2 linked regions of the Xenopus tropicalis genome follow. The protein of the gene in region 2 interacts with the protein of the main gene of each other region in a biochemical or structural test. Links are inferred from orthologs where the notes say so. Each region holds a gene or a part of one and is shown on either strand. Other genes may lie near its edges.

Evidence for each region.
Region 1: the proteins of apex1 (region 2) and mutyh form a complex in vitro, tested with the Homo sapiens proteins (3 studies listed by BioGRID and IntAct, with this or other methods). The link is inferred for Xenopus tropicalis from reciprocal best matches to the Homo sapiens genes APEX1 and MUTYH.

What each region holds. Positions count from the first base shown.
Region 1 is NC_030680.2:90,594,051-90,598,641, forward strand, and holds the start of mutyh (adenine DNA glycosylase), read right to left. Parts: upstream 3,123-4,591; 5' UTR 3,023-3,122; coding exon 2,997-3,022; intron 1,511-2,996; coding exon 1,443-1,510; intron 1,355-1,442; coding exon 1,236-1,354; intron 640-1,235; coding exon 600-639; intron 1-599. Other genes in the region: toe1 (target of EGR1 protein 1), read left to right, coding at 4,162-4,272, 4,575-4,591. UniProt on the Homo sapiens protein: Involved in oxidative DNA damage repair. Initiates repair of A*oxoG to C*G by removing the inappropriately paired adenine base from the DNA backbone. Possesses both adenine and 2-OH-A DNA glycosylase activities.
Region 2 is NC_030677.2:143,029,862-143,034,057, forward strand, and holds the end of apex1 (DNA-(apurinic or apyrimidinic site) lyase), read left to right. Parts: intron 1-1,255; coding exon 1,256-1,448; intron 1,449-1,981; coding exon 1,982-2,496; 3' UTR 2,497-3,598; downstream 3,599-4,196.

The sequences.
Region 1 (4,591 bases), on a different chromosome or scaffold from region 2:
AGTGCTCTAACATGACAGACTAGGGGCTGGAACAAAAAAAAATTAAGTAAAGTAATGCTACATGAAGTAAACTTCACTACATGCTCACTAGAGCTGTAAATAACCTGGGTGAGATGATTGACAGCTCAACAGTCTGGAAACCAAACATTTCTCTTCTCATAACTGAGGTTTGCGATTGTAGTCAAATGATTTTGTGTGCATTTCTTTCATACCAATTTTACTTGTTTCAGCCTTTTACTGTTAGAAATTGTAAATAGAAAGAAGACATTTTCTAAGCTTTATTCTATTTAACCACTTAAAAATAGCACATGGGTTTCACATATAATAAACCCTACAAATGTGTGAATACTTTGAAAGGAAGTATTTAAGTTCATTCTAAAATACTCCTCATATAAAGTCATATTTTTGTCAACTTTAGTTTTCTGTTTGCACTGAGTTATTTTAATAACATATTTTTACACAAACATTGTGATGATTATTAAAAGACTAATACAGACTATTACTATTTCTGGCTATTAGTGTTGGTTTGGACTCTACAATGACAATGGTGTACAGTGTTGTGTATAAGAAATTAAGAGAAATTTCAGTATTCAGCATACCCGCATAAGCCTTTCGATCCAAATCAGGTTCTGTGCAAGCCTGAAAGATACCAATTATAGAGTTACTTTTGCTTTCTCTGGGGTTGATAAAAGACCAAAATAAGAACCATGCCTAAAGGTTGTACATTCCATACTAATTGCTAAACTTTTATAGACACATTTTTGGTCTTCATTGCCAAGAAAGAACTCTAACAGTAATGGTACATAAAAGAAGGACCCAAGAGATTTTTTGGATCTGTGTGCCTTATCTGACGGGTGGTTCATCTGTTTGATGCCCTTCTTTTCATTGTGTGGAGTCTCATCAGCATTATATATTATATATATTAATGAAGTATTTTGAACTGAATTAGTAGTCTTTGTCTAGTACAGATCAGGGCACTGTAGAAACACTTTTACCTCTAAATTTACAATGAATCCAGAATGCAAATAGGTAGAAAGTGCCCTTCTTATACCCATAACAATTCTGTATTACAGAGCTAGTAAATGGGAGACCCATGCACTGAAGAAAATTTTATGGCATCAAGGACTGCCAAAGGGCTCTACAGAATTTGTTATATAATATTAATATTTATAAAAAAAAAAAAAGTTGGATAGGGCTTCTGTATCATTATGTCTCCCATTTAGCATATATCTTACCATTGTCCTCCATGGCAAATCTCTTTTGGACTTGTCATACCAAGCAAGGAGTTTATCTCGGATTATCTCAGTTTCTTGTGATGTAAAGGAGTGATAAATTGAGGACTGGAGCACATGTTCTGCAAAAACAAACCAACACAAGCTGCTTTCACAAACATTTAACTATCTATGACTATAAACTTTCTTTCACTCTCTAATAAAACCTACCTTCCCTTTTTGGAAACGCCTGCTTTGGGGATTTCCTCTTTCCGCTAGCTGCTGCTGATCTACCCAAGCTGCATTGAAGAAAATGACACATCACCAGTAAAGCAATGTGATTTGAAAATGACAATAAAGTAAGCATTCATATCATGGGAGAGACTAGGGAAATTTATACACATGCATAATACAATGCTTTGTAAATGCCTTAATGTTTTGGCTGACTATGTGTGAATGCAAAAAAAAAAAAAAAAAAAAGAATTTTCTTTTGAAGAGCTGCTGTTAACTTTGACTGTGAAGGGAGTGTGTAAGAGATAATAATAACATATGTTTTGTGTAACATTGATAGGTGAAGTATAAAGGTGAGCAGTTTATCTGATATCTGCTTTTTAACCTATGCCATTTTGCCCTATTTCAGCTTGAATGGCTGCCCCCATGGCTACACAGCACATTATTTATAAGAAGTAGAGTAGTGTTTCTAAAGCAAACACACCATCTTTACCAGTTTAGGGCAACAGTACAATATATTTAAAAGGAAAACTATAACTTTAGAATTATTCCTTAACCAACAGCCTCTTTGAAAGCTTTCAATACCTGCCATACTGGTTGTCCAGAGGTTAATAGTAAGGCTGCAGCATCCCCTTAATCACTTGGATTTCCTTCTCCTCCTGTAACCCACTAGGCCCCCTCCCTCAGGAATGCTTTGATTTCTGGCTTGTGGGCATGCTCAGTTATTCTAAGCTCAGATTACTAAACACGCCCTCCAGTCTAGCAGCCAGTGAAGAGATGGCATTTCTGGTTCCCATAGAAACTCAGCTCTAGTTTCAATTTTCCTAACCTCATCTCCTGAGCTCAGCTCAAACAATGCAGAACTTTTATCAGAGACAGTTGTGCCTGTGTGAGCCTGTATTTTTGATGTGTGTATGGTGTTTGCAAATTTAAATGTATTTGATTATGTATCAGAGGGAAAATGGCCACTAGGTGAAAGCCGCTATTTGCTATAAGAAAATGTGAGGGTGCTAGCAAACAGAGGGGGATATATGCAGTACAAATGGTGCCATTTGGGTGGGGGAGACTGATATACATTGTAGGCAAATGTAGGCTTTACATGTCCTTTAACATTTGAACAGGGGCGGGCCAAGCCAACCGGGCGCCCTAGGCAACCTGGTCGGCCAACTTCGGCCAACTCCCCAGCCCCCCCGAACGGCGCGTGCGCGCCAAAGCACAGGAGGCTGTGCAGGGGGGGCAGGTGATTAGATCGGTCATTGCCTCCGCCGCTAATGACAAGCGGCGGAGGCAATGACAAAGTAGCACTAGGGGTAGGCAGCTGCCTCTTTTGCCTACCCCTAGTTCCGGCCCTGCATTTGAATATGGCTTAAAGGTAAAAAAAAAAAAAAAAGTTGGGGATCTGGTGTAAGGGGGCGACCCACTGACTTTTTTCAGGTTGTATTACCTACTCTATGGTATTATCTGTCTTATGTGAAAACTGTTAATTGCTGTTTATTGTCTTTCGAGGTAACCACGACCAATGCAGCCCCAAGGTAACGCTACGTCCACCAATACCTGGTTTTAGTTCTGGGTGGAGGCATTTTACTTATCCAAAGTCCTGCAAATCTTCCTACAGCAGCAGCAGCACACCTCCCATGCTTCCCAATGCGTTCCAGCCCTTACACACGGCCTCTTCCTGCTCTCTTTCTCATTTAGATATGATAGGTTAGAAATAAACAAAGGAGGTCGGGACGTCAGAGATTGGGCCAATGTCATTTCTAAGCTACTCTTCCCGCGCGCAAAATAGAACAGGCAAAACAGAATACACGTGAGTGACGTCATCTGTATGCGCCGGAAGAAGAGGGGAAGGTGGCATTTTCTCCTGAGAGCAGAATAACTCGTAATCGAAGTGAGTTATTTTTTTTTTTTTGTAATACTTTCCAGCAATAATTTGTGCCCAGTGTATTACACACTGATATAAATGTTGGCGCACTCTGTACCGAAGGGTAATGGATAGGACACATTAGCTTGTTTCCACATAACCCAGGTGAAAGCATCTTATACAGCTGCAGTATCAAATCCAGGTTGCAGAAATTAGGCTTGCTAGGGACAAATGAATGCGATGCAGTTTCATACCGTCTGTGCTGGCTTGCAGATCTCATGGAGCATATATAAATGGTGCTTGTTATAAGTATAACTTGTACTAAGGCAGGGGGCTCAAACTCAATTTACCTGGGGGCCGCAGGAGGCAAAGTCAGAATGAGGCTGGGCCGCATAAGGGATTTCACAAAAAAAAGTCGGGAGCTGCTGATTGCGGAAATGACATTATGCCATCATAACAGTTATTATGGGAAGACGTTCTGTGTACACAATTAGCTCCTTACGTCTTCCCATAATAACTGTTATGATGGCATAACGTCATTTCCGCAGTCAGCAGCTCCCGCCCGCCGTGCCTTGCATTATCCCTTGAATCGCAATAAAAATCGCGAGCCATTCATTCGGCGTTGGTGCGGGCCACAAAATATTATACCGAGGGCCGCGAGTTTGAGACACCTGTACTAAGGCAAAACAGATTGGAAAAATGTAAATATGTAAATCAAATAGTGCAGACAAAGATATTGTTTTATTTTTTTAATATAAAGATGCAACAAAATACAAATAAGTCCTGATTATTTTTCTGCTTGCAGAATATGATTGACATGCTCTTTGCCTTTCTTACATACAGACAGATGAGGTGACCATGACCTCTTTAACAATCCCTGTGGTTGACATCCACAATGAGAACTTCAGTGAACTCTGGCCTTCCTTGTTGCTGGCTTTGAAGACATCCACTTTTATAGCTGTAGACACTGTAAGTGCCAGCAGTAAAACAGTTAAACATGAAACTATTGATATTTCCACTAGGGAGATATAAAGGAAATATTGACTTGAACAAATAAAGTTACAGAAAACTGAAATAGAAATAATTGTAATGTATAGCCCCTAATAGAAAAAAATAATAAGAAATAGAGGGAAAAAAGGAAACCTATCTAAATGTATGCATATTTATCCTTTATTGGGCAGCACTACTGTTATTCTGTTAAGTTTCTGGTTATCTTTATATATATATTTTCACACTGTTAGCACCAACTTGTGCCTTTTGTGCCTTTGCAGGAGTTAAGTGGTTTGGG
Region 2 (4,196 bases):
GGTGAGTTCTAGTTCAACAGTATGCATTAAAAATCTAAAGGGTGTCAGCACATTCTTTTTTTTTAAAGGTTGATTTTTATTTATTTTTGTGTCAGCACAATTAGCATAGTTATTGGTGATGGTTATTAGTTCAACCAGTAGCACACTCATTCAGTTCAGAGGAGATTATATTTTAATTGTGCATATATTGAGGTGCTTAGCTTAAACTACACACCTCACAGTGTGATTAAAGTGATACTGACACTAAAAAACTACTCCTCAAAATATGAATGTGTCATGCTGACTTTTTTCACTAATAGGGCTGCTTTTGTAAGTAATTGTTACTTGAAGTTCCTAAACCTGACTTTTGCCAACCTGACTGTCCCTTCTCAGACTGTCAGTTAGAGCTTCTAATGCTAACCGGCTACTTCTGCACAAATATGGCCGCCCCCTCATAGAGGAACATAGGGGTTCAGATAGGCAATGTAAAAGCATTGGGCAAATACTTTTAAGGCAAAATTATAGATAGCATGCAAAGATAATGTTATTATGGATGTAAAAAATGTTTTAATTTCTGGTGTCAGTATCTCTTTAAGTTCTTGTTATCATCCAATAAAGCACATTAGTCTCTCACCAAACTTCACATTCTGTTGTAAAGATGGATGTTATTCCCTTATGCGCGTTGAGGGGCTAGCGAGGATTCCCCACTATGCGCCTAAATAGCAATTAGGTAACATATTCACTGTGACCTGCTTAACCACAATATTCAGTCAGTTTGTTGTATAATTAGATAACAATCTCTCACACCTCTCTCCCCAACTGTTGGACTAATTTCTCCATAGGAATGAGACTGTACTTTATATATCATAAGTACTGATGTCATATACTTGCACTTTCATGGCATGTACCTCACATCAAATTAAATTTACCACGATCCTCACGTGCACCCTTATTATGCTGTTAGTTTGGCCACAAACTGATGTATGTTTTGCTGTATTAGCTTCCTCTGGGATATTAGTGTTATTATATTTACATTTTGTACATTCTTTATCATGCTATTTTGAGTATTGCCAAATAACACAATAAATGCACTTCAAGCATGTTTAATTGATATAGTGTTGGTATTAGTGTGCCCAACAATACACCACTGTTCTATTTTTTTAATTCTTGCTTAATTTGTTGCAGTTTTTTAAACAAAAATTAGGCTTACATGCTTTAGAAAACATCCCATCCACAAGATGAATTGGTCAAAAATGTTTGTTTTTGAATTATTTAGTGGGTGCGGGAGGAGGACCCACACATCATGTGTCTCCAGGAAATAAAATGTGCAGAGAAATTGCTGCCTCCAGAAATTAAGGATATGCCAGAATACCCCCACAAATACTGGGCATGTCCTGATGAAAAGGAGGGGTACAGTGGAGTGGCCATGCTCTGCAAGGACAAGCCGTTAAATGTAACATATGGCATTGGTAAGTATTCATATCCAAATAATTCTATTTTGGTTTCTTCAGTCTGTAAATATTAGTCTGTAAGAAGGCAAAGACCTGAGTGCCCTTTTTTTTTTTAATTTAAAATATAACTTACTGTTGTCCTACGCTGAAAATTGTGGGCTTCAGAAAGACTACTATGCATAACAGATAACATAAGCTCTGTTGAATACCATTGTATTTTATTACAGAGCCATTTAATTAAAATCCCTGCCATAGTACAAGATAACTTTGTTATTTGCGAAAAAGGAAAGAGAAATAGTCAGGTTTGTATAAGAAAATCAGTTTCCACACTGATTTGAAAAAAAGGATCAATAAATTTACAAGCAGTAAAATAAATATTTGTTTCCAAAACAACATTACTTCATGCAAAATTTGACATTTTTTTCAGGTAAAAGTAAACACCTTGTATTCTGGCAACAATGTTGCTTTAAAATGCTTCATTTTTGACAGCAGACAAGTTCTAGATTAACTCTATTCTCAGTTAACACATTTTGTGTTGTATACTCCTGTAGGAATTGAAGAACATGATAAGGAAGGTCGTGTAATAACAGCGGAGTTTGACTCCTTTTTCTTAATTGCTGCTTATGTCCCCAATTCGAGCCGTGGGCTAGTACGTTTAGATTATCGCCAGCGCTGGGATGTGGATTTCCGTGCCTACCTGAAGGGATTAGACAGCAAAAAGCCCTTAATATTGTGTGGTGACTTGAATGTGGCACACCAAGAGATTGACTTAAAGAACCCCAAGACAAACAAGAAGACACCGGGTTTCACCCCACAGGAACGCCAAGGCTTTGGAGAACTGCTGGCTGAGGGCTACCTGGACAGTTTCCGAGAGCTATACCCTGATAAGCCAAGTGCATACACATTCTGGACATATATGATGAATGCTAGGGCTAAAAATGTTGGCTGGAGGCTTGATTATTTTGTGCTATCTAAAGCACTACGCCCAGCTCTATGTGATAGCAAGGTCAGGAGCAAAATAATGGGCAGTGACCATTGTCCAATAACACTCCTTATGGCGATATAAAATAAATGATCAAAGGAAAACTACAAGCTGATCCTGTATGCAAGAGGATTTTGTAATATACATAAAATGCTTAGATCTGAAATATTTGAGATTCTTTTGCTGCTTCACAAATGGAATCTTGGATCAGCATTTTCTGTTTGTAATTTTATTATTCATTGCTTTTCAGACTAGAGAACTGAAACTTAACAAGAATTTGCTCTGTGACATTAAGGTTTCTAGTACTAAGGAAGACCACTGCTTCTTCATAGCACATAGACTCAAGATAGGTTTCATTTTGTTAAGCATATGAAATGCATATTGCAAAATCCTCATTTAGCTAGAAGCAATGTTTCCTGTAGTCTTAGAGAATTTTTAATCATTCAACCTAAAGACTATATAGCCATATACAAGGGCTATATAAACTGTATACACTGTAGTGAGCACCATCTCTTCAACACAGCCCCTCTATATGACAAAACTGGATTTTTTTGGTGTTAACCATCATTACAACCTTATGCCCACATGTGGGATCTGGAGAATGTAAAGGCATAACTACCTAGTCACACAATGGTTAGTGCTTAAAAAGTGCCCCTAGTGATGAAATCTAGGAACTTGTATTCCAGTCATAAGAACATGTGAAATTTGCAGTTGATATCTTTTAAGGGAGTGATTGTAAGACTAACTTCGCACCTGTTGCTCAACTATGAGTATTGAAGTTCAGCAAAAACTGGAAAGAGGTTGAAAATCTATGCCGTGGGGGCTGCACATATGCTACATTCATGTGATACTAAGAAAATGTGGGGTTCTCAGCTGTACAAAACAATGCAGTTGTAAAAGAAAATACTGAAAGGTGCTAGTTCTGTATGTGCTTTGACACTGTAAGATGTTACATATTTTTGTCATTTATTAAAAAAAAAGTTTTATAATCCACTGCATTTAATTTATTAATCTGCATAACACATGCTGCCCCCTTCCTCTTTTTGTGACCAAACGGTTATGGGGAATAATGGGAGGAGAGCTGCATAACTGGGGGTGCCAATGATGTACAAAAATAAGCATATTTTTAAACCAAGGATTGATGAAGTAAGGGTCAATATATTAATACAATATAGTGGAAAATGTTGTTCTGGTGTTTCTTTTCATTTTCTTGTTCTTTTCTTTATGATTTTTCCAGTTTTCACTCCTATATTGTTCTTTCCTGTTTTATTTATACTTTTCCTTCCTTCCCACCACTTACTCATTTATGTTCCCCTACAGATTATTCGGGCATGCATAACTCTCTGTGGTCCAACTCTGTAAAGGTTTTGATGTGTCATTACCAAAATGTTAAATTGACTTTGCTATATCTAACATCCTCTGCTACCTCCTCCCTAACTAATTCCAAAGAGTAAACCTATTGGGTTTAATTTATGTTTTTAATGATTTTTTAGCAGAGTCAAGATCTGGTAATCCAAATTATAGAAAGATCCCTTATCCAGAAAACCCCAGGTCCTGAACATTCTGGACTATACCTGTACCTTAATATGCATATACAGGGAAAGAGGAGATTGGCAGTTTCATTTATTTTGTGTATGGGGGTCCTTTGTTGACCACCCTAAACAAACAGCATTCTGATCATTCACTGTGGATAGTTACAATTTGTGTGTGGCACCCTCAAAAAATCATTTTGCACTTGCAAACTTCACCAGATTTGAAACAAAAAAGGCAATTTTGCCCCCCCT